4 linked regions of the Tamandua tetradactyla genome follow. The protein of the gene in region 1 interacts with the protein of each later gene in a pairwise test. Links are inferred from orthologs where the notes say so. Each region holds a gene or a part of one and is shown in the gene's direction. Other genes may lie near its edges.

Region 1 (7,322 bases):
ATCACAGATTAGGGTGGGTTGACTGCTTAATTTGCATATCTGACTGCGCTTATCTAGAGGGGATCAATTGAATAAGCTTTATGCTCTAAACACCTATCATTTTCTAGTAAACTTAATCCTTCAGTATCATATGATGACGTAATTTCGGGGGAATGTGAGCCAGGTTAGGTCTAGATTTAAAAAAAGGGGCTTCCATACTTCCTTATATGAGTGGGAGTGTAAGCTTCCCTTACAATTTAAATTAGGCCCAATAGCAGTGTGATTGGCCAACATTGAAGGATGCTTGTTTGTTGAAGCACAATTATATATACCAAAGAAGTATTACTCTTCATCCGTTTACTAAGTAAATAGATGAATTCTTCTATTTTTCTTCCTAAAAGAGGTTATACAGATGCTTAGTTACAATATATTTTAACTTGGCCAATCTAAACGGCATGATCAAGTTTAAAGAAAATCGTAAAATACAGTTTTAGAATATGCCCCTCCCCCCACAATTAAGTCTCCATCGTGTTACTATTACCATTTTAACAATTAAGTTAATAAAAGGCGTACTTAGCTGCTGTAAAGCCGCGGGGGGGGGGGGGGGGAAGAGGGCTATCACTACGTTAGTGAAACATTAGGGCCCCGGAAAAAGTTTTTTGTTGTTTTGTTTTAAATAACACTTGCTCCAATCTTTCCGAGACCTGCCACGGTAACAAAATCCTACTCTCAAGCCGAGGCACGTGGGCCCTTGTGCGTCCTTCCCGGCCCTTCCTTCCGGAGTCTGAGAACTGAAGAAACTGACTCAAGCTGGGGGCGTGCCGGTGGGCGGACCCAGCTATGTCCGCTCTCTGGAGACCGGAGCCCGAGTGTAGGAGGCGCCCGGTTACTCACGGCAGGACCCGCCGGGTCCACAGCTGTCCAAGCGCTGGAGAAGAGCCGGGTCCCCGCCCAGAGCAGAAATGTGAACTCTGCCCTGAGAAAAGGCGTCGGGTTAGTTAGTGTCTACCCCAAATACACGGTAATACGGCTCCGATGGCTTCGAAGGTTCTTCGGCACAAGAACTGAGTTCTCCATTCCCTCCGCCAAAATCGAAACCAGTATGGCAACATTAATAAGAGCACCCAGACGGTGCTGGAAAGTAGGTTACTTGGATATGAATCAAGGATTTGTGTATAATTTTCCTTTTCCTTAGGTGCCATTTTAAAAGCATATCCTTTAAGATATTTGTTTATGAAGTGCTTATATTCTGAGATAGCTTTGGATTCGCACTTCCTTTTTCCTTTATCTCAGCATAATTAGAAGCTGGATGCCATTATTCACAAAGAAACATCTTTGTGTCATTCTGTTACTTTATATTTGAAGTGCTAATTTTTTGTTTTTTTAAACTAATGGAAACTAAGATTGGCATACTAGGAAAGGGTGAAAAGGTGGGATTTCAATCAGGGGAACTGTGATTTTTATAAGCTCTTGCTGTTGGTCATCTTTTCAAGAATTCCACAGTGCCCAGTATGTTGCTGAATACACACACAAACATATCTACATATATGTGAAGAATACTACTTAAATTATAGCAGATCCATATGTTCAAACAATTCAACTGAAAGCATATGTATCTCCAGTTATTACAATTTTAGGATTGTATAAAAGCACATATATTTATAATGCCATTTTCAGTGATCTATGTATGTTTCACTCCTCACCTTAATTTACTTAACAAATTATCTTTGATACTTTCCCTTTTACCAATATCCACTTTCATTTTGACTTATTTCTTCCTGAGATAGCTACAGTTTTGGATTCCATGTAAAAACTTTCAAATATTCAACTATCAGTTTTTCTTTAGTCTTTGATTTCTTTCCTCATCACTAAATAACCATTTTTTTTATATTCCCAAAAGTTTGCCATTCCTTTTAAAGTCCTGTTAAAATATTTTATGTGCCCCTATATTATCTCCAAGCGTATATAAGTCTAAACCAGTTGAAGCATACACTGCTTAAGGGGGCACGGAAAATAAATCTTATGTGGTGCTCTAATCTTTATCTGAAATAAGTGTGCAGTCAGTATTACAGTTACATACCACTATGGCTGACTGTGGGAATCTAGTTCCATAGAGAACAGTCATTAATGAACACTTCCAAGGAAATAAACAAGAAAGCAGAGATTCTTATGTTGTTCTTTTGCTGGTAATGGATTTTCATTGGTACATCATTTTCTTATTATAAACAGGGACTATGTTGTCAAGATATGTGATATGGGCACTAGGAAAATGCAATGTGAAAAAACAATTTTTGAAAGGCAAGAAGCCAGAAATACAGGCATTATAGACAAGGCTTTTGTGGATAGAGAATACTAGCTATCTTTATTGCTAGTGAAACTTTGTGCCTAGTTTCTTTTATTAAACTTATCTCAAATGAAACAAGAAACATTCCAATGAAAAAATAGAGAAACCTGATTTTAGAAAGTTTTATCTACAAAGATATAGGAAGGCTATTTTAGAAGACCGTTCATTAAAAAATAAATTCTGAGATATAACTAAACCCTAGGATTAGAACCATATTCTACCATGAACTAGAAAGTAAGCAACATACGAGCTTGTGTTTAATTGCTTCCCAATCGTTTTATCTTAGTTTTCCTCTTCCAACTTGATTATAGGTTCCTCTCTAGAATGTGATATTTCTTTTGCATACTTCACTGTCCTTTGCTTAGTCCTGGACAATTATTGCCACTCGAATACAATACTTAAGTTCTGAGAAGTTGGGCAGTGATGTTCTATACTTGGAAGAAGAGACATAATGATCCAGTAATTAGCTCATTAAAAATATAGGTGTTTTTTGTTGTTTTGTTTTACCTCAGAGCACTTCGCAGGGACTAACTTGATAGGCAAAAAGGTCGAATCTTATCCAATCTCGCCCTTGATATTTGCTAAACTGCAGTTAGTCAATACGACAGAAAATGAAGCCATTTACCTAAATGGCATAGGCCATTTTTGAATTTTTGAAAAGCGGTGATTTAAAAAAAATCACAAATCCAGTTGTGGATAGGAGACTGGGTGTATACGCTTGGCGATGCTGTCTTGGTAGATTTCTATCACCACATGAGATCATGTGGAAAGACTGAAAGATTCTTCTTACATTTCTCACGTTTGCAGTCTAATGAGTACACTGGGAAAATGTACCACAAGGATACACGCACATACGCACTCGCGTGTGACCCGTTAGCCAAAGGAAAAGAGTTAGAAGAAACGAGGTCTATTCTAAACCGAAAAATTGGACGTCTGGCATTAACACGGAGGGGGAGGGGATGAACGTGTGACGGCTTTGATAAACGCAGCTGGCTTTGAATGGAACGAGCCAAGAGGCCTGCGTGCCCAAGAACAGATTCGTCGAGCCACGGTCATCGAGTTGAACCCCTTACAGATGGTAGGGGCTGGAAAGGCGACCCCGGGGTCTGCTGGCTTCGGTTGGATCCCTTTCCAAACCGGAGGGGCGTGAAGGACAGCGGTGGAGGAAGAGCCAGCCCCGGTAGGGATGAAGCCAGCGGAGGAAGCGGTTCCTGGGGATTGTCTACGACCTGCGAGAGGGCAAAATCGAAGAGGGGAAGCAGAATGTGGGGTAAGGGGATTTTCCAACCTCGATACCGCGTTTGCGATTAAACCAGGACTGGCAAAAGAAAAATTCTGGACGGCCACTCCCGGCCGCCCAGCTCCCCACCCTCCAGCCGGAGCGAGAGTAATTCATACAAAAGGCGGATTCGCCTCTGCTTTAGGGAATCCCAGGGGCCGTCGTAAAACTCCCACTATCCTAGAACAGAGGGATCTGTGTGTCCCCGCCCCCCACCCACTGTCTTCTCGTCGTCGTCGGGGTCCAGAGGAGCATGCGCCAGACTCTGTGTGTTCTTTGGTTGGATGAACGCACATCGCCCACGGTCCCCGAGAAGAGAGGTGGGGGAGGGGACGGCAATTGAACCGGTGCCTGGTGGAGGAGGCGCGGGGTGAACTGGGAAGCGGTGTCGTGTTTGACTCCACCCCTTTTCCCGAGGGTGGGGGAGGACCGTATATAAGTGCCGCAGTCGCCCCGAACGTTCTTTTTCGCAACGGGTTTGCCGCCAGAACACAGGTAAGTGCTGGGTGTGGCTCCCTTGGGCCGGGCCTCCTTGAACAGCTGGCAGCTGTCGCGTGCTTTTTGTTACTTATGTCTCTGTCGACCCACATTTGCGGGGTTCTTGACCCCGAATTTCGGGTTGTAAGAGGAAGAAGGTGGGAGAATTCGAGGCCTTGGATTTTCTCAGGAGCCCTTTTTATTGCTTCAGGTGAGGCCTGGCTTAGGCGCCCGGGCTGCCGCGCGCGAATCTGGCCGCTCATTCGCGTCTTTCTCGTTACGCCTCGGCCACTTGACTTAAATAAGCAGTTGGGGTATATTCTCATTGAGGTAGTTTAGTCGTTGTTGGGGCAGGACCTCGGCAAGAGTAAGGCTTTATCGGGCGCGTCGTCGGGTTCCTCGGGTTGTGTGACTGCCGCGAGGCGTGGAGGGTGGTGGAATCCAGTTGTCCCGCGCACATGTCCGGCGCGGCCTCGGCCAGCCGAGGCGGGCTCCTCGGGGCGCGGCCACCGGATGGGCGAGGGGTGAGATAATGGGGTTGGCCCAGCGGCTCCGGTGCCCAGTCTGCCCGCCCCCCCCCACACCCCCCGGAGAAGTGAGGTCGGTTTTTGCTCGGCACCAGTTGCGTGCTCGGAAAGATGGCGGCTCCTCGGCCGTGCTGTAGTGAGCTCAAAATGGAGGACGCGGCGGGTCGGCAGAGCGGGCGGGTGAGTCACCCACACAAAGAAAAAGGGCCTTTTTTCATTGTCAGACGCTGCTTCCTGTGATCCTACGGAGCAGTGGGGCATAGTCATGTCATTTCGATTGTGGCCCCTACCGCTCCGGAGGAAGGTTTCCTCAGCTTGGGGGGAGGGGATTTTCTGCAATGGAGTCACCACATTGGTGGGTGGAGACTAGTTAGGCCAGGTTGGCAATTGGAAGGTAGTTCTCCTTGGAGTTTGCCCTTTTAGTTTCCATCGCGGCTTAAGTTTCTCGGATGGTGGTTAAGAGGTGTTTTTCTCCCGCCCCCACCCCCCATTTAGGTGTCGTGAAAGCCATCACTACATCTTAAGCCAAAATGGGAAAGGAAAAGACTCATATCAACATTGTCGTTATTGGACACGTAGATTCGGGCAAGTCCACCACAACTGGCCATCTGATCTACAAATGTGGTGGAATCGACAAAAGAACCATTGAAAAATTTGAAAAGGAGGCTGCTGAGGTACTAAAGGGAAAGATGGTTAAGGGAGAATGCTAAAGTTGACTAGCTGAAACATAAGGTACCTTCTAAAAGGTTGACCAGTTAGTACATTTTTCTAAATGATCAGCAAAGACTTTCTGCGAGGCTCTTAGCTTTGTAGCTATTTTTGGAAATTAAACTAAGACCTCCAAGGGTTTGCAGTTTATAAAGTGGAATTTCAAGATGGGGTTTGATACTGTTTGAGTTAACAAGTAACCATTCTTCTATTACAGATGGGAAAGGGGTCCTTCAAGTATGCCTGGGTCTTGGATAAACTAAAAGCTGAACGTGAGCGTGGTATCACCATTGATATCTCCCTGTGGAAGTTTGAGACCAGCAAGTACTATGTGACCATCATTGATGCCCCAGGACACAGAGACTTTATTAAAAACATGATTACAGGCACATCTCAGGTTTGTAAATTTAATAACTTGGAAACATAACTGCGTTTAGAATCTCTTTCAGGGTTCAGTTTAATGAAAGCTTTCAATAATGCAAGGCCTTGATTTGTTCTGAACACTTCTGTAGCATCTAAATTCAGCTTGATAACTTTGAGGAGAACTTTGATTTAACAGGATATGACTTTTCTCAGGCTGACTGTGCTGTCCTGATTGTTGCTGCTGGTGTTGGTGAATTTGAAGCTGGTATATCTAAGAACGGGCAGACACGAGAGCATGCCCTTCTGGCTTACACGCTGGGTGTGAAACAACTAATAGTTGGTGTTAACAAAATGGATTCCACCGAACCACCTTACAGTCAGAAGAGATACGAGGAAATTGTTAAAGAAGTCAGCACCTACATTAAGAAAATTGGCTATAACCCTGACACAGTAGCATTTGTGCCAATTTCTGGTTGGAATGGTGACAACATGCTGGAGCCAAGTGCTAATGTAAGTGACTTTTTGAGAATTGTTAAAAAGCTTTGGAGTGTCTTTTGATGTCAGTAATTGGTAGTTTCTTGTTCTTAGATGCCTTGGTTCAAGGGATGGAAAGTCACCCGTAAGGATGGCAATGCCAGTGGAACCACGCTGCTTGAAGCTCTGGATTGCATCCTGCCACCCACTCGTCCAACTGACAAGCCCTTGCGTCTGCCTCTTCAGGATGTCTACAAAATTGGTGGTAAGCTGAATTTAAGATGTAACTTAAGGGGGGGGTACCCAGAATATAGTTTTCACATAAGATGTTGATAATACTTTGTATCTAGGTATTGGTACTGTGCCTGTGGGCCGAGTGGAGACTGGTGTTCTCAAACCAGGCATGGTGGTCACCTTTGCTCCAGTAAACGTTACAACTGAAGTCAAGTCTGTTGAAATGCACCATGAAGCTTTGAGTGAAGCTCTTCCTGGGGACAATGTGGGCTTCAATGTCAAGAACGTGTCTGTAAAAGATGTTCGTCGTGGCAATGTGGCTGGTGACAGCAAAAATGACCCACCAATGGAAGCAGCTGGCTTCACTGCTCAGGTAACAACACAGTTTAATTGCTACGTTTTCTTAATTGTTGCAGAGCCTGAGACTCACTAAATTAAACTTTTTTTAAAGGTGATTATCCTGAACCATCCAGGTCAAATCAGTGCTGGCTATGCACCTGTGCTGGATTGTCACACAGCTCATATTGCTTGCAAGTTTGCCGAGCTGAAGGAGAAGATTGATCGCCGTTCTGGCAAGAAGTTGGAAGATGGTCCCAAATTCCTCAAGTCTGGTGATGCTGCCATCGTTGATATGGTTCCTGGCAAGCCCATGTGTGTTGAGAGTTTCTCTGACTATCCTCCTCTGGGTAAGGATGGTTTCAGAAATTTAATGAAAAAAAATTCTATCAAAGATGAAAATTTGAACTGTTTCTCACAATAATAATGAACTTTATTTTAACAGGTCGTTTTGCTGTTCGTGATATGAGACAGACAGTTGCTGTGGGTGTGATCAAGGCAGTGGACAAGAAGGCTGCTGGAGCTGGCAAGGTCACCAAGTCTGCCCAGAAAGCTCAGAAAGCTAAATGAATATTACCTATAACACCTGCCACCCCAGTCT
Region 2 (7,453 bases), on another chromosome or scaffold:
CAATAAAAAATAACAAATCCTTACCTGAGCAATTTCTTCAGGGGTTGTCACAGGTTTTGACTGCTTTTTGAGTTCAGCAATTACAGCATCAACAGCTAACATCACACCTGGTTGAGAATAAAAATTACAATGTTTATTCTTTCATGGCTTCCATGTCAAGTAGATAATTCAAAAATCTTGAGATCTGTGCTGTCTTTTAATGCATTAATGCACTGTCTATGCTTAACTTCTGTGCCTGTACTGTTCCCCATCTCATGGAGTAGATGACATGCCCTGAAACGGGAACTTTATATTTATACAGTGAACAAACGAAGTCCCACAACACCAAAGTTATTTTGAAAATTGAACTTCCTTAGTTCAGTTTTAGGGTGATATGGATAGTTCCAAGAATCTCAACTTTTTTTTTTTTTAATTTTTTTTTATTTTACATGGGCAGGGACCAGGAATTGAACCTGGGTCCTCGGGCATGGCAGGCAAGCATTCTTGCCTGCTGAGCCACAGTGGCCCGCCCAGAATCTCAACTTTTAACCTCATTCTACATAATTATTCCCAATCCATTCATGTTGCCCTCTTTAAAATATTTTTATTCATAGAGCTTCACAAATACACATTCCATACATGGTATACAATCAATGGCTCACAATTATCATAGTTGTGTCTTCATCACCATGATCATTTCTTGGAAAATCTGCATCACTCCAGAAAAATAAAAAAAGAACTCATACATACCGTACCCCATACCCCTCCCTCTCATTGACCACTAGTATTTCCATCTACTCAAGTTATTTTACCCCTTATCCTCCCTTCCTGTTGCCCTTTTCTAATAGGGTCACCTATCAGGAAACACTCTTCAATTAAATACACAAAAGGACCAAAATGGATTAACAGTCTCTTATTTTCAACAAGAAACAAAGATCTTGGCCATAAAGAATTTCTGGGATAACATCACTGCAGGTTTTAAATGTGAGAAATATCCTCACTTTATAATAATGAACTGACAAAATGTTATCAGTCAACAGAACTACAACATGGATTTGTAAGAACCACAAGCCAACTATCATGTTTTGCTCAACTAGGACTAGTACTAACTCTTTCTTTCTCTCATCCTTCCCTTATTTTGAGAAATGTTACTTCAAGAAAAAATATCCAACGTGTAGTAACAATGACTCTAATTGACAAGTACTCTTAATAGCATCAATTAATGTTTGCGAGTGATTTACAGTCCCAAACTTTTAATGCAGAGCATTCACCTAGGCCTACACCACTGAGATAGAGAAACCAATATTAACATGGTATGTGCTGTTAAGAGGTAAGGAAAAACTGCCACAAAATTTGAGGAAGACACTGCTTTCTGATCTCCTGAATGGAGCTTCTGGTTTAGCCCGACCTTCAATACAACTAAAATGGAATTACATCAAAACTGTATCATCTGTCTCTCTGAACCCCACAAGTTTACTACTATTTTCAAGGTACAGGGTAGGTACTGTATCTCCCAATAAATGCTTGCTCTATGGCAGGAGTCAGGGGGCAGGACAGGAAAGAACTTCTTATTTACATTTTCCTCCTTAAAACCTAGCAGTATTCACTACACAGCCAAGCATTCAATCACTATTTGCTGAAAGTAAGCTCAGTTTAAGGTTTTAATGAATCAACTTCATTAAACAATTTAAAAAACATTTTATGTGCAGGGACAGGGAATCAATGTTTTCTTATGAAAACTAAGTTCAAAACACTGTAATTTTCTTACCTCTCCTGATTTCCACTGGATTAGCACCTTTACTAATCTTCTCAAAGCCCTCCTTGGCAATAGAGCGTGCCAGGACAGTAGCAGTGGTGGTACCATCCCCAGCCTCTTCGTTTGTGTTATTTGCAACATCTTGAACAAGTTTAGCACCAATATTTTTATATTTATCCTTCAAGTCAATTGACTTTGCAACGGTCACACCATCTTTTGTTACTTTGGGACTTCCCCAACTCTGTTCAATAATCACTGTTCTTCCCTAAAATCGCAAAGAATAAAAGGTGAGAGGATCACAAACTGCAGAGGCTTAGACAATGAACAGTTTCATAATACAGGAACTACTTGAAAGCCTCAACATAAGTTGTATCATTTTTAACAGGGCTATAGCAAGAAACTCAAGGGCAAATTCCTCCATGTTCTTAGTTTACAGACAAAATGACCTCTCTGTTGCTCAGTCAAGTGCATAACTTTGGATGAGGTACTATGGGAGATAATTCTAGGGACCAGATGTCATCTTTCAAAACAAATAAGTACAGGATAACCAACACCAAGTTAGTAGATAACAATGATAGTATTCTTCAAAACATTTATACCTTAGTTTTAGTTAGTGACTGCTATCTTTTAAAATGATGACATTTCAAAATCTAATTACTAACATACCGAGTCAGCCAGGAGCAATGTGTTCTTCCAAGTTTCTTCAATATTAAACCTCAAGCATGATGCAACAAGATTGGCAGCTTTTGGATTTAAGCCAGTAAAAACTGCTCCTTTTACATGGGGAATGCAAGTGTCGTATTTTATGCAGTTGTTTGGATCACTTTAATATTTGAATTATCTTCAATATGAAATGAAGGCTACCTGCAATCACTTATTATCTGCACTCACCAATAACTTCAGCGTGAACAAGATTTAGAATTTTAAATGCCCTTTGGAACAGCAGGAAAAAACTGGGTACAACTAGTCCCTGTAAGTGTATACTTGAGGTATTATGGTAGAAAAGTTACACTCTTCTTTCTATAATTAGCATTCTTCCTGGGAAAATCCAAAATTTAACTCAAGCTAGCAAGCAAGATTAGTTCTCTGGGGCGGTGCAACGATGGCTCAGCGGGAATTCTCGCCTGCCAAGCGGGAGAACGGAGACCCAAGTTCGATTCGCGGTGCCTGCCCAAGCACAAAAAAAAAAAAACGAACGAAAAGAAAAATACTGAGCTGAGCTAACACTTCATTACATTGTACATTTGCACAAAATATAGTTTTGAAAATTGGGTTGAAGAGCTTAAGACATTTTAGCTAAGAAAAAAAGTCATCAAAAAACTGGAACTTTTATATGTGAGATTTTTTTCAACGAATACCAAAGTATTCAGTACTTCATGACTTCCCATCAGTAGAACATTATTCCTTAATTAATGTTATAACTATAATAAAACACTGGTACCTTTGGCCCCATAGTAACGGCTACAGCATCGGCTAAAAGGTCTACACCTTGAAGCATTAAGGCTCGGGCATCTGCACCAAATTTTACATCTTTGGCATAAGCCCGAGTGAGATGAGGAGCCAATGCCCTGGACACTGGCCTTATCTGGCGAAGGACTGCGGGTAATCGAAGCATTTCTAGGAGAGAAAACAAGCAGATGATCAGTACTAACACTACATCACTACATGAGTGTGTTGCAGCAAACAACACGCTACCTGTGCAATAAAACATGAAACATTAAGTGTGAGCTGGGAAGACACCCGCCAGCCATGCTGCCTGAGCCACGGTTAGAGCACACTACCTACTAGCTTAAAGGGTGAAGCCGCCCCAACGTCCGACCGATACCACCAGCGCACAACACATTCATCTCATTCCGAACAGCTACCCACACATGCCTAAAAACTAACTCGCTTTTCACCGTTAAAACTGCCCCGAAGGCAAATGCACCCCAAATAAGCCCCTGGAAAACAAAGTCTGCAGGAGAAGGGCAGGTTACAAATCCAAGTGACCATGGAAGCGAAAAATATTCCTGGCAGGGCAAAGGACCTCTCAAGCGTAAGTATCTCCATGTATCCACCCGAGGCTACAGTATCTGAGAACCAAAAAGGCCGCGATGCTGGGGGCAGACAGTCCATCCCACCCCGCGCGGCCCCACGTCTCTCATCAGGACGCCCCCAGCAAGGTCAAGGGTGTAGACGCTGTACCCATGCTGACCGCGAGGCAAAAAGCGATTTCCACGCGGCTACGACCACCCTCTCCCGCGCGTTGCAGTTAACCCAAAGCGAGTTGCACCGAGGGCCCACGAAACTAAAACTCCCTAAATTCCACCCGCCAACTAGGCCCTCCCTGGAGTCCCGCACTCCATGCCCCACGTGATGGGATCCCGCATGGGCCCTCGTGGCCTGGCCTAGCAGGCCTGGGCCTGCAGCGCCATCGGGAAGCCCTTGCTCTTTCCCAACACCTGACTCAGGCCGGGCCGCAGCCGTAAAAGCCTGGCTAAGAAACCAGAGTCGGCAAGATGAGGCGGCACGGGCCGGCAGGATACCTGCGGGGCAAAGGCCGGGCGGGCAGACGGAGAGGCAGGCCGTCAGCGGCGAGTGAGGGACAGAACGCAGAACGCACACGGCAATGAGCCCGTGTCCCCTCCCTCCGCGCCCCTCCCGCTCCGCAGCACCGCATGTGCAGCCGGCTCCCGCCCCCTAGCCCGGCGGAGGCCCTGCAATCAGCACGCGCTATACGTGGGCCCCGCCCATCCCTACCCGCTAAAGCCAGATCAGGGGGCTCAGCCCTCTCGAGCCGGCTTAGGCTTGTTCCCAGGCCAAACAGCGTTCCAGAACTTTCCGGAAAGCGCCGCGCTCTCCGCGCGGGTCAAGGGTTAAATTGCGTCATTTCCGGGAGGGGCGAAGGGATAATTCTTTTACCTCGGCAGGCAGCCTAGAAAAGCCTAGAAATAGCTCCTCTTTTCTTCTGCCCTCCTGTCCGCGCGTCAGCGACCTGCGCAGCATTCTCGGACGAATCACGGCCCGCGTTGTGCGCCCGCCCTCTCTCGCAGGACGGGGCGTCGGAGGCCGAGCGCGCTTGCGCGTTGGACATCTTTTCTCCACGTTCTCGTATTCCTAGGGTCGGGCCGTGGTTCCTCTCCTTGCGGCGGTGGTGGCGCGGGAGCAGAGTACGAGTTAAGGCAACCGGAGCCATGGTGGGTCCCGCGTAGGCTGGAGTTCTGTGGTCCCGGTCGGTTCGAAGAGCTCGGTAGCCAGTACCGTGGCTTGGGCTCTGGCCAGAGGGGTAGGGGTCATTCGGTGTCCTTCCCTCGCTTGCACCCTGGACTGTCACGGTGCCCAAGACTAGGGTCGAGAGCGAAGGATCCGCCGACCTTTTCTTCCTCCGTGGGCTCTTCGCATGAGTGTCCTGGTGCGACACGCGTGCGGTACAGGGGGCGGGAACGGGGACGCACGTGCGGCGGCTGACTTTTCCTGCGGGGCCTTTGCGGGTGTGTAAACCCTTGGAAAAAGAGCGTGGTCTTAGAAGGAGGGTTTACTCCATGGCCTGAGCATTTCTAGAAAAATATAAATAAGGAAAATATCTGACCTTGGAGTAACAAGGTTGCTTTTTAATGCCAATCTGGCCAAAGGAGCAACAGCGACCTTTAATTATATAGAGAATGGGGAATTAACGTAGAATGTAGGCCCGAACACTCAAATGTGTTCTCGAATTAAGAATGTGAATTATGGTGTTAATCTTTTAAAACTGTGGTTCCTGTTTGAGATGCAATGGTTACTGTGGTTTTGTTTGTTCAGAATATAATTACGTATAGTTTCTGCCGCAAGTTTAAATTTTTTTTCCCTGCAGGCGGGACAGGCATTTAGAAAGTTTCTTCCCCTCTTGGACCGAGTATTGGTTGAAAGGTGTGCGGCCGAAACTGTAAGCAAAGGAGGCATTATGCTTCCAGAAAAATCTCAAGGAAAAGTATTGCAAGGAACAGTAGTAGCTGTTGGATCGGGATCTAAAGGAAAGGTAAATGAGGGTTGAAAGTGCATTAATTTTTGCTGACTAACATTGGAATTGCCGTACTATTTTAACGCCTTGGGGCCACAGTTGGCTTACCTTATGAAAGGAACGGGTTGGATTATCCTTTCAGATATTTTTCAGTTTTCTGGCTCAACTTCAGACCTGTCAGCCACAATACACACAGTAAATGTCTTTTGGGTCAAATAAGTTAAATGCGATGTTCTGGTTAACTCTTAGAAGTTACTTGCAAAGAACTGTCTGGAGTTAGGAGTAGGGAGGTTCTGGGTACTCTCTGCTTTAGTCCCTTTTACTGAATATATAATATTCGAAGAGAGGAAGTAGAATAACAAAAAAGGATTGTATATTCTAAATATAGAAAAGTTCTTTTAAACTTTTGTATGTTGTAATTGATCGTTTTGCTGCATATGGTTATAAAAACTGTTTCATTTGGCAGCCCATAGGCTACTAACATAGTACAGTATTTGGCAATTATAAAGTTATCTTTAATTGCTAAAGCTAGCTCTCCCAATTTAATTTAGTTTAAGCTACTGTAAGGTTTATTTCAAATTATAACTCTACACTTAATATTTATGACTTAAGCCACTTCATTATATCACTTGGCCATTAAATGCATTTTTAGCATTTGATTTGAGTGAACATGTGATTAATTTAAAGCGTAAATGTTTGCTGAACTCCATGTCTTTGCTCATAAATGTCCTTCTGTTTAGGGTGGAGAGATTCAACCAGTTAGTGTGAAGGTTGGAGATAAAGTTCTTCTCCCAGAATATGGAGGCACCAAAGTAGTTCTAGGTGACAAGGTGTGTAACATAAAGTAACTTTTAAAAGAGGTTAAATATTTGCTGTTAACTGTCTTAACTTAATGATTTTTCTGTTTGCAGGATTATTTCTTATTTAGAGATGCTGATATTCTTGGGAAGTATGTAGAGTGAAATAGCTCAGTATTGAAATGGCATCATGTGACGCTCCCCATTCCACCGAAGTTCTGAAATCTTCCATCATGTAAATAATTTTCATCTCTCTCTTTTATAATAAACTAATGGTAATCCAATGTCTCTTAAATTTAATTTCACTGTACTGATAGAAACATTTCCAAATAAAAATATATAAATGAATGCCTAGTGTGTATTTATTTATTTAGTGAGTTCTCTAAAGTAACCCACAGATAATTTTGGGAAATGAGGTTTGTATGTTGATGTATATTCACATTGATTTTAGCTTTATTACATAAATGATCTATGCTGGTACAAAGTCAAGGGTTTACACTTACCTGCAGTTTAAGAATTGAAAAATCAAGTAGCCATATTTTGCCTTTCAAACAATCAGTTTATAGTGGTCAAGTAGAGTTCTTCATTCATGGTAGAAAAATGTAGTTCCTGACATAAGCATTTCCGGTTTTCAAGACTATTTCATAATGAGGGGAAAATCCAAGGCAAAATATTGCTAATCTTTCAACCGACCTGTTTTAGTCTCCTAGCTGCTGAAACAATTACCATACAATGTGCTGTCTACATGTCTAGATGGTTTGCTTCCTCCCTGGGTGGGTATCTTCTAGCAGGCTGGCAACCTTGGGGTTCCTTTTCTGTCATGTGGTAATGCATACAGTGGCACCTTTCTCCTCTGGGTTCCCTTGACTTAAGTTTCTGGCTGTATCCTGGGTTTCTTTCTTTGTCATTTCCTTTGCTTATGAGGATTTCAGATGTACTGGATAA
Region 3 (6,977 bases), on another chromosome or scaffold:
CAGCAGAAACCAGTTTTAAGCCCTGCTCTGCTAATTCCAGACTCCACTATCACAATGCATGAGGGCAAGCTTTGGGCTTGGAAGTCTCGTGGTTCTAAGATTCAAGTAATCTGGATTCTGAAGATCAAGATGCTTCAGGAAAGCAAATTTACCCCAAACTCAGATGCCTGCAGGAACTAGGTTGGGGAAGGGGTGCAGATGTGCCGAGGGGACTGATGTGACACTTCAGAGACATCTGGGGCGCCGTGGGGAATGCACGGCTCCCACTCTGCCCTGCAGGAAGGAGCCACACGGCCCTGCATCTGTGAGTCTTTTGGAATGCCGCCCTCCTTACAAACCCATCTATGGGCTGTAGGTGGTGGCGCCGTGGGGAATGCACGGCTCCCACTCTGCCCTGCAGGAAGGAGCCACACGGCCCTGCATCTGTGGGTCTTTTGGAATGCCGCCCTCCTTACAAACCCATCTATGGGCTGTAGGTGGTGGCCACTTGTGACCTTCGGAAAATCCCTAGAAAGAGACATCGTGGGACAAAGGAAAGCATCTTCAGTTCCTTGGTGGAGAATCGGCGCTCACAAGGCTTGGCTCCAGGGTAAAAGCTGGGCCCACGGGCACATCTGTGGCTTCTTGGTGCTTTTGGCTACAGCCAGAGCTGGAGGGGTATTTTCATCACCGGTGGGACATTTGTTGTCCATCTGCAGTGGTGAAATGGGTTACACAAACCATTTCGAACTATTGATGGAAAAAGTCCCCAGAGCATGAATGATTGATGCCGTTTCCTGTCCTCATCCGTTTCAAGGATCTCCCTGAGCTAATGGGACCCGCCTCTTGGGCAGTGCAATTGCTCTCCCATGAACAGCCCCTCCTGCATGAAAGCTCCCTCCCTGCTCGGGGCAGACTGGCCACAGATGTCTGGTGCTGCTCTGTGGGGATTTCCCTCTCTCAGCGTTTCCTGTTTCCTGTCTCAGCCCCATCTGCGCCTCCCCCAGTCCCTGACTCCTTGCTTCACCCTGCCTGGGGTGGCGGGCGAAGGAGGCTGGCGGCTGGGACCTTTAGACATCAAGGATGCACTGGAGATGCCTCCGGGCTTCAGGAGTAGGCCATGCGCAAAACGGTGGTTTCTCCTCTGCCTTAAGTAGCATCACCATCGACAGGTCACTGTCTGCTTCACCGGCCTGGAGTTTGGGGAAAAACAGCACTCTTCCTGAAACTCGGGAGGGACAGGGGAAGTTTGGGGAGGAGCAAGTCTAGACCCCTCCGCTGAGAGTGCAGGGATCCTGCGGGATCACAGACACAAATGATGCTTAGCCCATTTCGGAATCGGGCTTCTCTGCTCCGTTGTTTTGTGTTCCAAGCCTCCAGTTTCTGTTCAGAGGCTGCGAATGCAAATTCCTCCAGGGGCCTGGCAGGTCACATGGAGATTGGGGTTTATTGGGGTTGGGGGTTGGGGGCTGGGGTCTGAGGAGAGCTGTCCAGAGCTGCCCTTCCCGCTGAGGGTTAACTGTGGGGGATCTGCAGGCACGTGGGAGCCAAATCTTCCCATTTTCCAAGAGTAGCAGGAAATCCAGATTTTTATGTGAAAGCTGATGGTTTTGAAATGCAGCGATGGATTCAACTTTTCCTAGGACATTCCGCAGTCCAGAGGAACCCTAGCTGCAGTCAGGATTTGTTCTCCTGAAGCCCATTTGGGATCTGCAGCTTCTGTGGGGTGGTGGTGGGATGTTGGCACAGTGTTTGGATGGCATAGAGGGAATGAACCTGCTATTTGATGACAGTGTTCATGCATTATGCAAAAGTAAATCGTTTGGGAAATTCTACCAGGAAATATCCCATAAAGCAGCTTATGGCTTACTGGACATCCACTTATTTCCATAGCCAAATGAAAGGTGTCTCTCCATCAGGCCGTGGGACTGACTGAGAAGTGCATTTCAAATGATTTGTTAATAGAGACGTAAACATTTCCAAAGGGTTTTAAAGGGAAGCATCTTAGAAGGTTCCCCTTTAATAAGGCAACACACTGCACTGTTAGGGTTCCGGGGAAGGTTTAGGGGTGCAGTCCCAGGTAGTCTGGTGGGCAGGTTCACAGCCTCCCATGACTTGAGGCTCCAAACAGGCTGCATTACTTACTCAATGTGGGTGGGGAGAACGCAGAACCACAGCTACCACTGGCTCTGCCTCCACCCTCCCCCTCCCCAACAGAAAACAGGGTACAGGAGCAGCGTCTGCATCTGTCAGAACTGTGGGCAGCCACCCGTCTGGGCAAGGGGGAGCTGTCTGCAGATAAAATGTTTCTTTCCTAATTGGGCTGGGGGCTTTGGGGCCACTCTAACCTTCAGAATAGAAAGGAGGCTCTCCTGAAATTGGCTACCTTAAACTCAGGAGCCAAGTGGACTCGCCCCGAGGACTTTCCACCACTCCTCTGATTTCTAAGCTGGCTGGGTGGGGCCTGGAGATGCTCCCCCAACACCCCCCTGCCAGCAGCCTTCCTCAGTGAGGAGGGGATGAGGGGCTGCAGGCCTGCCTCCTGTTTTCCCTGGCCTTGCCACTTCAACATATTTAGTAAGGGGGAGCTTTCTAGTGTTACTGTAAGTTTTGGGGGGCGGGCACAGAGAGTTGGTGGTGGAATGTGAAAATGCCGAAGTCTTATTTCCAAAAATTTCCTGGGAACCTGGAACTAATATACGTTAAGAAATGCTTAATATTTTTTGAAGAACAAGACTTAAATCTCAGTCCCTTAACAATTAACTTTTTTTTTTAACTAAATCAAGGCACATCATCATTTTATATACCACCAAATTAGAAAGGAAGAAAGGGAGGCAGGGAGGGAAGGAGGAAAATGCTAGCGCGTAAACACGGCACAATAGTACCTGGCCCACTGTCACTGTAAGACACCTCCCTATTGCAGACATTTAGCAAACACTTGCTTCTGAGCTTCTAGGAAGCAAGCGGCCGGCTCTCGCCGCATTTCGCCTTCAAACCCCTAGGGGGCGCAAGGCCGCCAGCTACGGCTCTCGGCGCTTTTCGTGCCCAGAATCGTGCACAGCCTGCTCCAAGTTCAGGAGAATAAAAACTTCCCTTCTGAAGTTCAGAGGGACACTGAATATCCACCAACCTTCTGGAGAGAGCCTGGTTTTTTTTTTTAAGGTAGGTGATCAGCACTAAAAATCAAAGTCTCCGGATTTTCCAAACCCATTTTCTTCCCCTGCCTTTGCGAGGAGGCGCTGCGCAGGTGCCTGCGCTCGGCCCGGGTCCTGGGCGGCTCTGCAGGCTACAGATCAGAAGTGCTCCAAGAACAGCACTTTCCATTAACAGTCGCTCGAGCTGTCTTCTAGTTTTTTTTTTTTCATTACTGAAAACAAGCTTTTTGTGTTTGTATTTTTCGATTATTAAAAATTCCAAAGTCATATTAGCAATAGGGGCTCTTATTCCATCAATACAGGAGTGGGAGTCTCCTTTAGCACGCCACAGCCCGGGGCCACCCCGCTTGCGTGGGGTTTGCAGCCTTGCCCTGATTCCCTGCCAGGCCCGGCCCCAAAGCTGTGTGGAGGGGGAGAGGAAAGGACGTCCCCCCCAGGAGAGGGCGCTGCAAGGACGAGGGTTCAAGGCCTTTCTGGCCCCCTGGAGATGGCGCCGCGGGAACAGGATTCCGGAGCCGCGTTCTCGAAACTCCTCCCCGGCGCGCGCCCCGGCAGGCTGGGCTGCCGGGGGCTGGCCGCCGCGCACTCCGCGGCAGCCCTGTGGGGGCCCTTTTCCATGGAAATGTTTTCCTTCAAACTCGCATGGCTGCACGAGTGCACGCGTGCAGTGACCGGCTCGAGGGGCCTTACATTGCAATGTCCCCGCAGGGTGCAGAGGGGATGACCGCCTGCGGGGTGCGCCCGGGGCAACGGGCGGCGTGCACACGGTGACGCCCCAGGCAGGAGGAGGCGGACGAGGAGCAGCAGCACGAGGCCCCGACCCCCGCGCCCACAGCCCGGTGACCCCCACGAGCCGACGGGGCCCTGCCCAGCCCCACCCGGCGGCAGGTGGACAGTGTTGCTATGAAGAGAAAGCATGGATTGTCCCAACTCCAAAGCGCCACACGCCAGCCCTCCGCTATTGTGCACCCTCCATAGAAATGCAAACGAGCCGCGCGTGTGCCGGCCGCAATCTGCTTGCCCTCCCCGCCCCCCACCCCGGGGTCCCCTCCAGGCCCGGCCGCCACGGGCCTTGCACAGGATTTCCAGCCGCAGTCCGCATCCAGGGGTCCAATCGGCCTGGCGCGGACCGACCTCTCACTCCAGGGGCAGCTCGTGTGAGCGGGAAAGGGCTTGGGTTCCCTGCTTGCTGCAAGCTGAAAACCAGGACTGCACGGTATTTTTGTTTTTTTCTTTTTTAACCTTAATTTCTGGTTTGCAGGCCACAGTCTTAATAAACTTCAGTTGAAAAGTACAGAGAAAAAAACAGAACGGTAGCAATCAGAGCGAATGCCAAATTGGTTTTTATTTAAATTCGTCAAAGGTGCAATTCACCAATTGCACAAATTTGCAGCATCATATTAGCAAACGAGGCTTTTTATTATTTTTTTCTTCCCCTTTTCCTTTTAAGGACTGTAAAAAAAAAAAGGCGAGAAGAAATCTGCAGGCTCCAGTCTGCCTGGTAACACCCTGACAAAAGCGGCAGATTTGGGGCATTGTAATCCCCCGCACCCCTCCCCACGTGGCCTTCTGGCACGAGCCGGGCCAGCCCGCGCCTCATTTGCATCAGAAAGCCCGCGCCGACCAATCGGCGCGCATCTAGCGCTCCCGGCTGGTCTATATAAGGGCGCGCGGTGGGCCCCCCCCATGCCTCATTCGCTGGTTGTAGACTTCCCGGGCCGGGTAGCTGCGAGCTCTTCCCCTGTCTGCTCCCGCGTCCCCTTTCTGCTCCATCAGCCTTTGTGGATAACTTGCTGATCGCCTGGCGAACCATGACTCTTGAAGAAGTCCGCGGCCAGGAGACGGTTCCGGAAAGCACCTCCAGGTGAGTTGGCGCTGGGACCGGGCGTCTTGGGGGCTGCGGGATCCGGGAAGAGGGATGGAGCCTGGCTCACGCGCCCCCCTCGCCCGCAGGATGCAGAGCGCGGGGAAAGCACTGCACGAGCTGCTGCTGTCGGCGCAGCGCCAGGGCTGCCTCACCGCCGGCGTCTACGAGTCCGCCAAAGTCCTGAATGTGTGAGTAGAGACGCGGCGCCGGCCGGGGGACCTGAGCGCGGGCGGCGCGGGGAGTTCCGGGGCGCGCGCCGCGGGCCCTGACCTCGCCTCTGTCCGCCCTCGCAGGGACCCCGACAACGTGACCTTCTGCGTGTTGGCCGCCGACGAGGAGGACGAGGGCGACATCGCGCTGCAGATCCACTTCACGCTGATCCAGGCGTTCTGCTGCGAGAACGACATCGACATCGTGCGCGTCGGCGACGTGCAGCGGCTGGCGGCGATCGTGGGAGCCGGCGACGAGGCAGGCGCGCCGGGCGACCTGCACTGCATCCTCATCTCGGTGAGTGCTTGCCCCGCTGTCGCCTGGCCCAGCCCCGACTCCGGCCCCGGGGACGCTGGCCGCAGCCAGGCTCACCTCTCCGTCCGTCTCCCCGCAGAACCCCAACGAGGATGCGTGGAAAGACCCCGCCTTGGAGAAGCTCAGCCTGTTCTGCGAGGAGAGCCGCAGCGTCAACGACTGGGTGCCCAGTATCACCCTCCCCGAGTGACGGCGCGGGGCCGCGGAGACCTTAGTCTGATCAACGCGGCGCGATTGCGCCAGGGCGCCGAGCGCGTGGCCGGTTCTGTGGATTAAGCCCTCGGAGGGAGCCGGAATGAGTCGTGGAGACTTGGCAGGCGGTGGCGCTTGGAGCGGGACGCGGAGTCGCGCGGGGCTGTTCCCAAGGTGGGCGGCCGGCAGCGGCGGGCGACGGCGGCGAGGGCCAGGCTCGCCCCGGAGCTGAGGGACTTTGCAAGTGTCCGGGAGCTGCTGCTCTCCCAGGAAGGCCGGAGGGCTGGGGACGTTGGCTGCAGGCGGCTGGGAAGGCAAGACTGGCTGGCAGGACTTGGGTGACTCAGCAGCAGCCTGCGTTCAGCAGAATCGAGGGGAAAGGCGAGGCTGTGGACTTCATACAGTTACAGGAACGGCGGCGAATTTAGTAGACTCGCACAGCTTTTTTGCAAAAGAATCAGGGGCAGTTATTATTTTTTTTTAAAGGATGCTGCTGCTGGAGCTTTGAGTTTGACAATAAACGTATTGAAACCAACTTAATTCTCTTTATTGAAGCGGGGTGGGGGTGGGGGTGTGCTTGCTGAGGTGGGGAGGGAGCTGGCCGGGTCTTTCAGATGACTTGCTGAAACCTGGAACTGGATGGCACCTGCTCTTATCTTCCTGTTGGGCACAGATGACAGGTAGTCCTAGGAAGCTGGCCCAGGCTTTGGGTAGAACTGGAAGCCCTGTTCCTGTTTCTCCTATTTTGGGAAGATTTAAAAACTTGCCAGACAGAAGCATACTGCAGATAAGGCTCCAGGGCAGTAGCTTAAGGGTGGCCATTCAAGCCGATAACAGTGACCTCTCCCTCTCTCCACTCTCCTTCCCCTCCCCCACCTCCCCCTCCTTCCCACAGCTGCTATTGCAACAGCTTGCAGGATGCAGACAGGGTGTTCCTGCACAATGAGCCTTGCCTTCTGCAGGCACTGCCCCTGGAGGTCCCTGCAGGACTGGTGGCAGACAATGCCCTCAGGAACTCCTCTCATAAAAACTGATAACAAAGGGGCTGTGCTTACAGGTAATGTTACAAAGGTATTAATATCAGATATGACACTTGATGACTAGGTTTAATTCTGAGCCATCATTCTGTCATGACTGTGATGGAACTCTAAAAGATCTGAGCCGAAACTGGGAGGGAGCATCTGCACAAAGAGTTGTGAGTAGATTTGAGTGGGGTTAGCATCTGCTGCCTACTATTTTGAGTTTTCTCTTCCTACATC
Region 4 (7,828 bases), on another chromosome or scaffold:
ATGCCCTCTCTGCGGGAAAAAGGGACATTGGAAAAGTGACTGCCTCTTGGCACCCAGCTGTGAAGGGGCTGTCCTTCCAAACCCTGACCCACCGCTGGCAGTCCTGGGCCTGGCCACCGACGACTGACAACACCCAGACTCAGTGACTCCGATCACCCTCGCTGAGCCCAGGGTAACAATCAAGGTAGTGGGTAAGTCCACCTCCTTTTTAGTGGACACGGGGAATACCTTTTCTGCCCTCCCCTCCTACTCAGGTCAATTCCTTCCTTCCCAGGTCACGGTTATGGGCATAGACAGCTGTCCTTCGCACCCCTTAACTACTGGACCACTTACATGTTTAATAGAAGGGTACCCCATTACACACTTTTCTTGGTGATGCCTTCTTGCGCCAGCCCACTAATGGGGCAGGATCTTCTCACCAAGTTAGGGGCCTCACTTCACTGGATACAAAAACCCCAAACAAATTTACCATTACCCTTATGTGTGCTGTTCTAGTTTGCTAGCTGCTGGAATGCAATATACCAGAAACAGAATGGCTTTTACCAAGGGGAATTTAATGAGTTGCTAGTTTACAGTTCTAAGGCTGAGTAAATGTCCCAATTAAAACAAGTCTATAAAAATGTCCAATCAAAGACATCCAGGGAAAGATACCTTGGTTCAAGAAGGCCGATGAAGTTCAGGGTTTCTCTTTTAAGTGAGAAGGCACATGGCGAACACAGTCAGGGCTTCTCTCTTGGCTGGAGAGGCACATGGCGAGTACGGCGTCATCTGCTAGCTTTCTCTCCTGGCTTCCGGTTTCATGAAGCTCCCCGGGAGGTATTTTCCTTCTTCATCTCCAAAGGTTGCTGGCTTGTGGACTCTCGGCATCTCATGGCTACATCATTCTGCTCTCTCTAAATCTCTCATTCTCCAAAATATTTGCTCTTTTATAGGACTCCAATAAACCAATCAAGACCCACTCAAATGGGTGGAGACATGTCATCGCCTAATCTAATTTAACAACCACTCTTGACTAAATCACATCATCGGGGAGATGATCTCATTATAGTTTCAAACATACAGTATTAAATAGGAATCATCTACCTTTATGAAATGGGATTTATATTAAAACATGGCTTTTCTTAGGGAGCATACTTCCTTTCAAACCAGCACATGTGGCCTCCACCTCCACTCAGGGTTCCACCCCTCCCGCTCTTCCCCTACCACCTCACCTAGTAAACCCGGAAGTATGGAATACCTCAACTCCCCTGATAGCTTCCCATCATAAACCAGTTCTTATCTGACTAAAAGATCCATCCTCATTCCCATCTAGGCCACAATTTCCTATCTCCATAACCCATCAGAAAGGACTCCAACCCATCATTAACCGGCTCAAGGGAAAGGGACTCCTCATACCCACTAACTCGTCTTATAACACCCCCATCTTGCCTGTCAAGAAACCTGATGGTTCTTAACATCTAGTACAAGACCTCTGACTAACTAATGAGGCTGTCATCCCCATCCACCCAGTAGTTCCCAATTCATATACTCTTCTCTCACACATACCTCCTCATACTACTCGTTATTCTGTCCTGGACCTTAAAGATGCCTTCTTCTCAATCCCTCTAGACCCTGCCTGTTACAATTTATTTGCCTTTACCTGGCAAGACCCAGACTCTTCAGCGGCCCAACAACTTACATGGACGGTATTACCTCAGGGGTTTCACAATAGCCCCCATATCTTTAGCCAAGCTCTAGCCAGGGACCTAATAGAGTGCAATCAAACTCCCAGTTTCGTTCTCCAATATGTAGATGACCTATTAATTTGCAGCCCTTCTGAAAAAAACTTCCACAAAGCCTACAGCCACCCTGTTAAATTTTTTAGCTGACAAAGGATATCGAGTCTCCCCTGCCAAAGCTCAACTTTCCTCCTCCACTGTTACCTATCTGGGGCTCCGCCTCACTCCTACATCCCGACATCTAACAGTAGACAGCCAGCAAGCCCTTTGAGAACTCCAAAACCTCCAGAAAACATTGAACAAATTTTATCCTTCCTAGGTTTTGTGGGGTTCTTCTGACATCGGGTCCCCAGCTTTTCCCTCCTAGTGAAGCCTCTTTATAAGGCAGCCAAGGTGGCGCCCATGGGAACCCTAGATGACCCCTCTACTGTAGCCAAAACTTTCTCCATTCTCCATGATGCCTTACTTCAATCACCTCCACTTGCTCTTCCAAATCCTAACAAACCCTTCTTCCTTTTCACTGATGGAAAGCAAGGAATAGCGGTGGGAGTCTTAACCCAACCTCTGGGACCAACTTATAATCCAGTAGCCTATCTCTCTAAACAGATGGACCCCACTGCCTGTGGATGGCTTCCCTGTCTCCGAGCACTGGCTGCAGCTACTACCCTAATGCGTGAAGCTCTTAAACTTAGTCTGGGTAGGCCTCTCCAAGTCCTGTCGCCCCACCATCCACAAGACCTGTTATCCCATAAGTCTCTCTCTCTCTCTCTGCTCATTCCTTCCCGTCTCCAGGAATTTCATTTGTTCTTCCTAAAAAACTCAGATGTCACACTCTCTGCCTCACCAGCCTGTCTTACGTGGCTCCAAATCCTCCAACAAACCTTAAATTTCCTCAACCAAACACAAATACTCCCTAAAGTAACCCACTGTTACCTCTGTGCATCATTAAATAAGCCACTATTAGCAGCTGCCCCTATAAATCTAATCCAAATACATAATCATAACCCTGATTCCTGCCATACCACTCTAAAGAACACCCCCCGATGGGAACCAGAGCCTGAAAACCTTCCCTACCCCCTTAAAACCTGCTTCCTCACACACACACAACTGTAAATCAGACAAAACTTCATAATAAATGCCAAACTAACGTCACTATCCACAACACCACCCATCCGCCAAAGGACAATATTTCTGGTGTAATGGAACCCTTACCAAGTGCCTTAACTCCACTGCCCCGGGACCATGCTTCCTGGTAACTACTGTTCCTCAATTAACTCTCTATAGGGAGTCCGAACAAACTTGGTTACTGCCCTCTCCTCACTCCAAAAGGGCTGTCTTTCTTCCCATCCTGGTAGGCATCAGCCTAACTGCCTCAGTCGCAGCCTCAGCTGCAGTGGGAGGGGCACTGGGACATGGTTTTTTTTTTTTTTTTTATTAATTATTTAGATTAAACCAAGGTAACTTAACAGAACACTTTGAGACATGGTATTTCAACCTCTCAAAACTCTGAGACTCAACTACAGGTAGCCCTGGAATCAACATCAGAATCCCTTTCCTCTCTACAACGTCAACTTACCTCACTAGCCCAGGTAACTCTTCAAAATTGACCGACCTTAGACCTGCTAACCATCGAAAAAGGAGGAACGTGTGTATTCCTTCAAGAAGAATGCTGCTATTACGTCAACGAGTCAGGTCTGGTGGAACAAAATACTCACACCTTAAACAAACTAAAAGAGGATCTCTACCACAGAAAACAAGGAACCAGCTCTGCCTTAGACTGGTTTTCTTCCCCCCTGGTGACATGACTCCTCCCGCTAGTAGGACCAGTTATCCTAATCTGTCTCTTTTTTCTCCTAGCTCCCTGTCTCCTCAACCTCCTTCAGGGACGCATGAAGGAACTGTCCCAGCTAGCAGTCAACCAAATGCTCCTGCATCATTGCCACCGCCTACCCTCCTCACCTGATTCCTATAGCTAACCTACTCCCTCTCCTGACCATGACAACCCCAGCCCATCACCCCACGTCGCCCCAGCACAGCAGAAAGTAGCCAGAAGAACCTCAACGCCCTATTATCACAAAAAGGCTGGAATGTTAGGTTGGGGGAACCGTGAAGGGCACTGCAACTGGAGCTGCAGAGGCTGTGTCGCCCCTCCCAACATGGCTTCTGGAGCCACCCCTTCTGGACACCTGACTTCCGGAGAACCGCCCCTTCCGACGTCACCTGACCCGCTTGCATAAAAACTGCCCACGCCATCACCCATTTCAGACTCACCTTCCTCCATCTTGGATTCCGTGAGCTCTTCCCGGGAGCACAGAAATAAACCTGCCCACTTTAAATTTCCCGGTCTACCTTCCCTCTTCCTCAGCCTTTCGCCTCCTAAACCTTTCATTTTTAAATAGCCTTACCCAGTCTTCTTTAACAGTTAAGATTCATATGCCACTTTCTTCCCCAAAACTTTCCTGCACTCTCCTACCCCATGGAAGTACCCATGTCTTTGTCTCTGACACTTTACCAATTCAGTACCCAGCTGGGGGGTTTAACATGATGCCACCTCGCGCCTTAGTCCTTTGTGTGTATGTGTTTCTCCCTAAAAGCCTGTGGGCCCGTCATAGCGGTTCTGCGTCTCTTCTCCACATCTTTGATTAAAATCCAAAGGTTAAAAATCACTGAGACAAAGTGAAAGACCAGAAACCAAAGACAAAGAGGCCTGGCTGTCGACCCTCTCCGGGGTGGGAAATAACTCGCAATGCCGGCCTCCGCAGGGGAGCCCGGAGTGGGTGGAGCACTAAGGCTATCCAGGAGCGGCATGGCGTCTCCTGGTTACAAACGCGGAAGCTGCACCGCGATCTATTTTGATCCTTCAGAGCTGCCATCCAGTCTGCGTACCACTCATGCCACGTGACGGAGGAGCCCCTACGATCTGTGGCCGAGAAGTACGTGGTGCGCTGAGTGATCGCGGGCGGCCAGCGGAATGGAGGAGACTTTGGAGCAGCACTTGGAGGACACGTGAGTAGTGCAGACCTCTTCGGCTTGTGCTGAGGTCGCGGCGTTGAGGCTGAAGCGGAACAAAGGGCATGTGCTGCGAGTGCTACCCTGGCGTCTGGGAACACGGAACAACCTCCAAGGCGCGGATGTGACTGTGAGGCTTGCTCTGGGGCCGCAGGGCGGGGCCGTGACCCGGAATTAAAATCTCTCCGGGTTGCTTTGCACACTCCCTCCCGGAGCGAGTCTCCGGGATTCAAATCTGAGGCATACTACTCTGGTGTCGTTATTTCGGGCGTTTTAGGGAATGGGTTATGTTTTAGAAAGGATGTACCACGTGTGCAAAGTGGAACCCTGCATTGTAAACATAAGCAGACACACGTATCTCCTTCCATACGAACCAGCTACTTGGTGCTTAGGGGGATGATGGGTCATCCCTTATTTTTTTTAATGAATGATATTTTTGTAAGATCCGGATTGGGAAAGTTTAAGAAGGCATACAGGGAAATATACCTCACTCCCACCACTGTACTCCAGCCTCTCAATTCCCTTCCGGGAAACTCCTGTTACTTAGACTGTTCCAAAAATTGCTGTACTTGAGTTAGTATATTAAAGCTCGCATTGAGCAAAGGGAACCCTGGATATTACAATGTTTGTGACCCTCCAAAGGTAAATTATACCTGACAATCTTTTTGTTTTTGTTAGTGAGAATTAATTTAAGTTAATTGGTTTTATTTTTTCTAGAGGCGGGGAGGGATGATAATGAAAAAGGCGTTGAGAAACACTGATTTAAAGCACTTAACAACAGTGCCTGGCATGTATAAAGCCTTAATGTGTTATGGTAATTTAAGCCCATGTTCTCTCTTCATCCCGCCTCTATTTCTGGAACTAGAATGAAGAATCCATCAATTGTTGGCGTCCTGTGTACAGATTCACAAGGACTTAATCTGGGCTGTAAGTATCTTACACCAAACTTTTGGTGTGTTACAAGTATCTGATATTGACCTGGAGTCAAGTGTATTAATGCTATTCTCTAGCTTTTATTTCTTGCTGTCCTGCCACTTTGAATTGGTATTTAAGAAAGTAGGACCATTCCCTGCAGTTCTAGAATTAAAGCATTTGGCTCTACTAAAATAGTATTTGAATCATTTTAAATTGCATTTAGAAGGGACTTCAGGTAATGACAGTATTAACCCTTTATTGGATGTATGCCATATGCTGGAATTGTACTAGCCTTTATCTGCATTTTTTCTAGTTTTCACAGTAATCTTGGATGGTGCTATTTTTTTAGTCTAACATACACGTAACAATAAGTGAGTAAACAGTAAAATGTATTCTCTTTTAAATGTACAGCAGATTCAGAGCCAGAAACATCTGGGTTCAACCTCATGCTCTTCCATTTGCTAATAGTGTAAACTTAGACCACTTCTGGGCCTCAGTTTCCTTACTGAGTTGTTTAATAATTATACTAATAATAGAATTACATTTATTGAGCTCTTGGGCTATGTACCAGGCAGCATTGTAAGTGTTTTAGATATCATTCATTTAGTCTTCATAAAACCCTATGAGGAAGATAGCCGCTTTCCCAGTTTCCTTGAGGCAAAAAAGTCAGGTAACTTGCCCAAATTCACATAGCTAGCAAGTGGTTGAGTTAGGACTTGAATCTTTCTCCAAAACCTCTTAATTACAACACTATAAAATTATATCATATGTGTAAAACACTCAGCACAGAACCTAGACATAGTAATAAAGAGTCACAATTACAGATGAGGAAATAAATCCAGAAAGATAAATAACCAAAGCATTCAGTTAATGTCAGAACTAGGAAGTCCAGGACTCTTTACTTCTAACAAGAATTTTTTAAACTAAATTTCTTGCTGGAAGGATAACTGAAATGGGTAATATTTGTAATAGTTGTGTTCCTCACAGATTAGTCAGTTGGAAGAGAAAAGGCAGATTTTTCTAAAATGCTTGCCAGGCTCACTAATGGAAAGGCTGAAATTCAAGTATGGAAATTTAAAACTAAGTCAGTTTCTTCAAGAAAGCTTTAAGGCCTTAAAGGCTACACTGTGGCCAGTTAAAAGTAAAATCAGCAATAGTTAATCCATAAAAATGGTGCCATAGTTGCAAGACTGTTACCCAACTTAGGTGCAAGCACAATTTAGGCATATGTTACCTCAATGAAAACATAAAGTAAACTTAGTAATTACTTTATTTTCTTGGGACCCTAAATTATTTACCTACAGGCTAAAACAAACATTAATAAAGAGGCAGTTCTTTTGACATTTGAAAACAGCTAGCTTATTCTTGCCAAATTGATTGTTCACTGATTGTATTCACAGGTGCTGTCAAGATGGTCTTATGATTGAACTCCCAAGTTCAATTATATATCCTTTGAGGTTGAGCTCAGTGAAAAGAAATCAGATTTCCCAGGAGAAATTAATTAGTTTCACAAGTCTCTTGTCCTTACTGACTTCTTGTCAATCTCACCTCTGAATTTTTTTGTTTTCAGTAAGGTCCTAAAAAATGAATTTCTTTTAGATTGATTTGAATTATAGCTTTATATCGTTGGAAGGTGTTTCAAGATGGCAACGAAAATGACTTTGAAAACTGAGTGTTGTCCTCACATTGTTGATTTAAGAACTGTTGTCTTTCTCATCTAGTAGTTATAACCAGTTGATTATCAGGGCAAAAGCATTTCACGTCAGTACCTAACATAGGAGACAGTTAACTGAATCTTGTGTTTGTGAATAATTCAATGATAGCTCCTACTATAACTCCTTACTCATTTTTGGACAGTCAGGTGACATGATATCATCTCTGTCTTCTAGGCCGTGGGACTTTGTCAGATGAGCATGCTGGGGTGATATCAGTTCTAGCCCAGCAAGCAGCTAAGCTAACTTCTGACCCCACTGATATTCCAGTGGTATGTCTAGAATCAGATAATGGGTGAGTAGATGTCAGTAGATCCTTTCCTTTCCTTTTTGTACAGGAAGCTTCCTAGGAAAGTTGAATGAAGTCTGGTGGAGAGTGAGTCATGTCTCCCATGAAAGGCACATTCAGGTCCCAACCCCCGGTTCTGTGGATGTGCACCCATTAGTAAATAGAGCCTTTGAAGCTGTTATTAG

Evidence for each region.
Region 2: the proteins of EEF1A1 (region 1) and HSPE1 interact in a two-hybrid assay, tested with the Homo sapiens proteins (2 studies listed by BioGRID and IntAct, with this or other methods). The link is inferred for Tamandua tetradactyla from reciprocal best matches to the Homo sapiens genes EEF1A1 and HSPE1.
Region 3: the proteins of EEF1A1 (region 1) and GADD45G interact in a two-hybrid assay, tested with the Homo sapiens proteins (2 studies listed by BioGRID and IntAct). The link is inferred for Tamandua tetradactyla from reciprocal best matches to the Homo sapiens genes EEF1A1 and GADD45G.
Region 4: the proteins of EEF1A1 (region 1) and LAMTOR5 interact in a two-hybrid assay, tested with the Homo sapiens proteins (2 studies listed by BioGRID and IntAct). The link is inferred for Tamandua tetradactyla from reciprocal best matches to the Homo sapiens genes EEF1A1 and LAMTOR5.

The regions. Positions count from the first base shown.
Region 1 is NC_135331.1:129,525,466-129,532,787, reverse strand, and holds the start of EEF1A1 (elongation factor 1-alpha 1), read left to right. Parts: upstream 1-4,074; 5' UTR 4,075-4,097; intron 4,098-5,101; 5' UTR 5,102-5,136; coding exon 5,137-5,280; intron 5,281-5,531; coding exon 5,532-5,711; intron 5,712-5,890; coding exon 5,891-6,187; intron 6,188-6,265; coding exon 6,266-6,416; intron 6,417-6,501; coding exon 6,502-6,758; intron 6,759-6,836; coding exon 6,837-7,071; intron 7,072-7,166; coding exon 7,167-7,291; 3' UTR 7,292-7,322. UniProt on the Homo sapiens protein: Translation elongation factor that catalyzes the GTP-dependent binding of aminoacyl-tRNA (aa-tRNA) to the A-site of ribosomes during the elongation phase of protein synthesis.
Region 2 is NC_135329.1:171,755,748-171,763,200, forward strand, and holds HSPE1 (10 kDa heat shock protein, mitochondrial), read left to right. Parts: upstream 1-4,615; 5' UTR 4,616-4,908; coding exon 4,909-4,911; intron 4,912-5,564; coding exon 5,565-5,729; intron 5,730-6,451; coding exon 6,452-6,541; intron 6,542-6,622; coding exon 6,623-6,673; 3' UTR 6,674-6,856; downstream 6,857-7,453. Other genes in the region: HSPD1 (60 kDa heat shock protein, mitochondrial), read right to left, coding at 25-107, 1,748-2,000, 3,177-3,350. UniProt on the Homo sapiens protein: Co-chaperonin implicated in mitochondrial protein import and macromolecular assembly. Together with Hsp60, facilitates the correct folding of imported proteins.
Region 3 is NC_135328.1:10,009,421-10,016,397, reverse strand, and holds GADD45G (growth arrest and DNA damage-inducible protein GADD45 gamma), read left to right. Parts: upstream 1-4,822; 5' UTR 4,823-4,945; coding exon 4,946-4,998; intron 4,999-5,087; coding exon 5,088-5,189; intron 5,190-5,294; coding exon 5,295-5,508; intron 5,509-5,605; coding exon 5,606-5,716; 3' UTR 5,717-6,253; downstream 6,254-6,977. UniProt on the Homo sapiens protein: Involved in the regulation of growth and apoptosis. Mediates activation of stress-responsive MTK1/MEKK4 MAPKKK.
Region 4 is NC_135337.1:12,521,064-12,528,891, forward strand, and holds the start of LAMTOR5 (ragulator complex protein LAMTOR5), read left to right. Parts: upstream 1-4,585; 5' UTR 4,586-4,689; coding exon 4,690-4,724; intron 4,725-5,592; coding exon 5,593-5,654; intron 5,655-7,531; coding exon 7,532-7,649; intron 7,650-7,828. UniProt on the Homo sapiens protein: As part of the Ragulator complex it is involved in amino acid sensing and activation of mTORC1, a signaling complex promoting cell growth in response to growth factors, energy levels, and amino acids.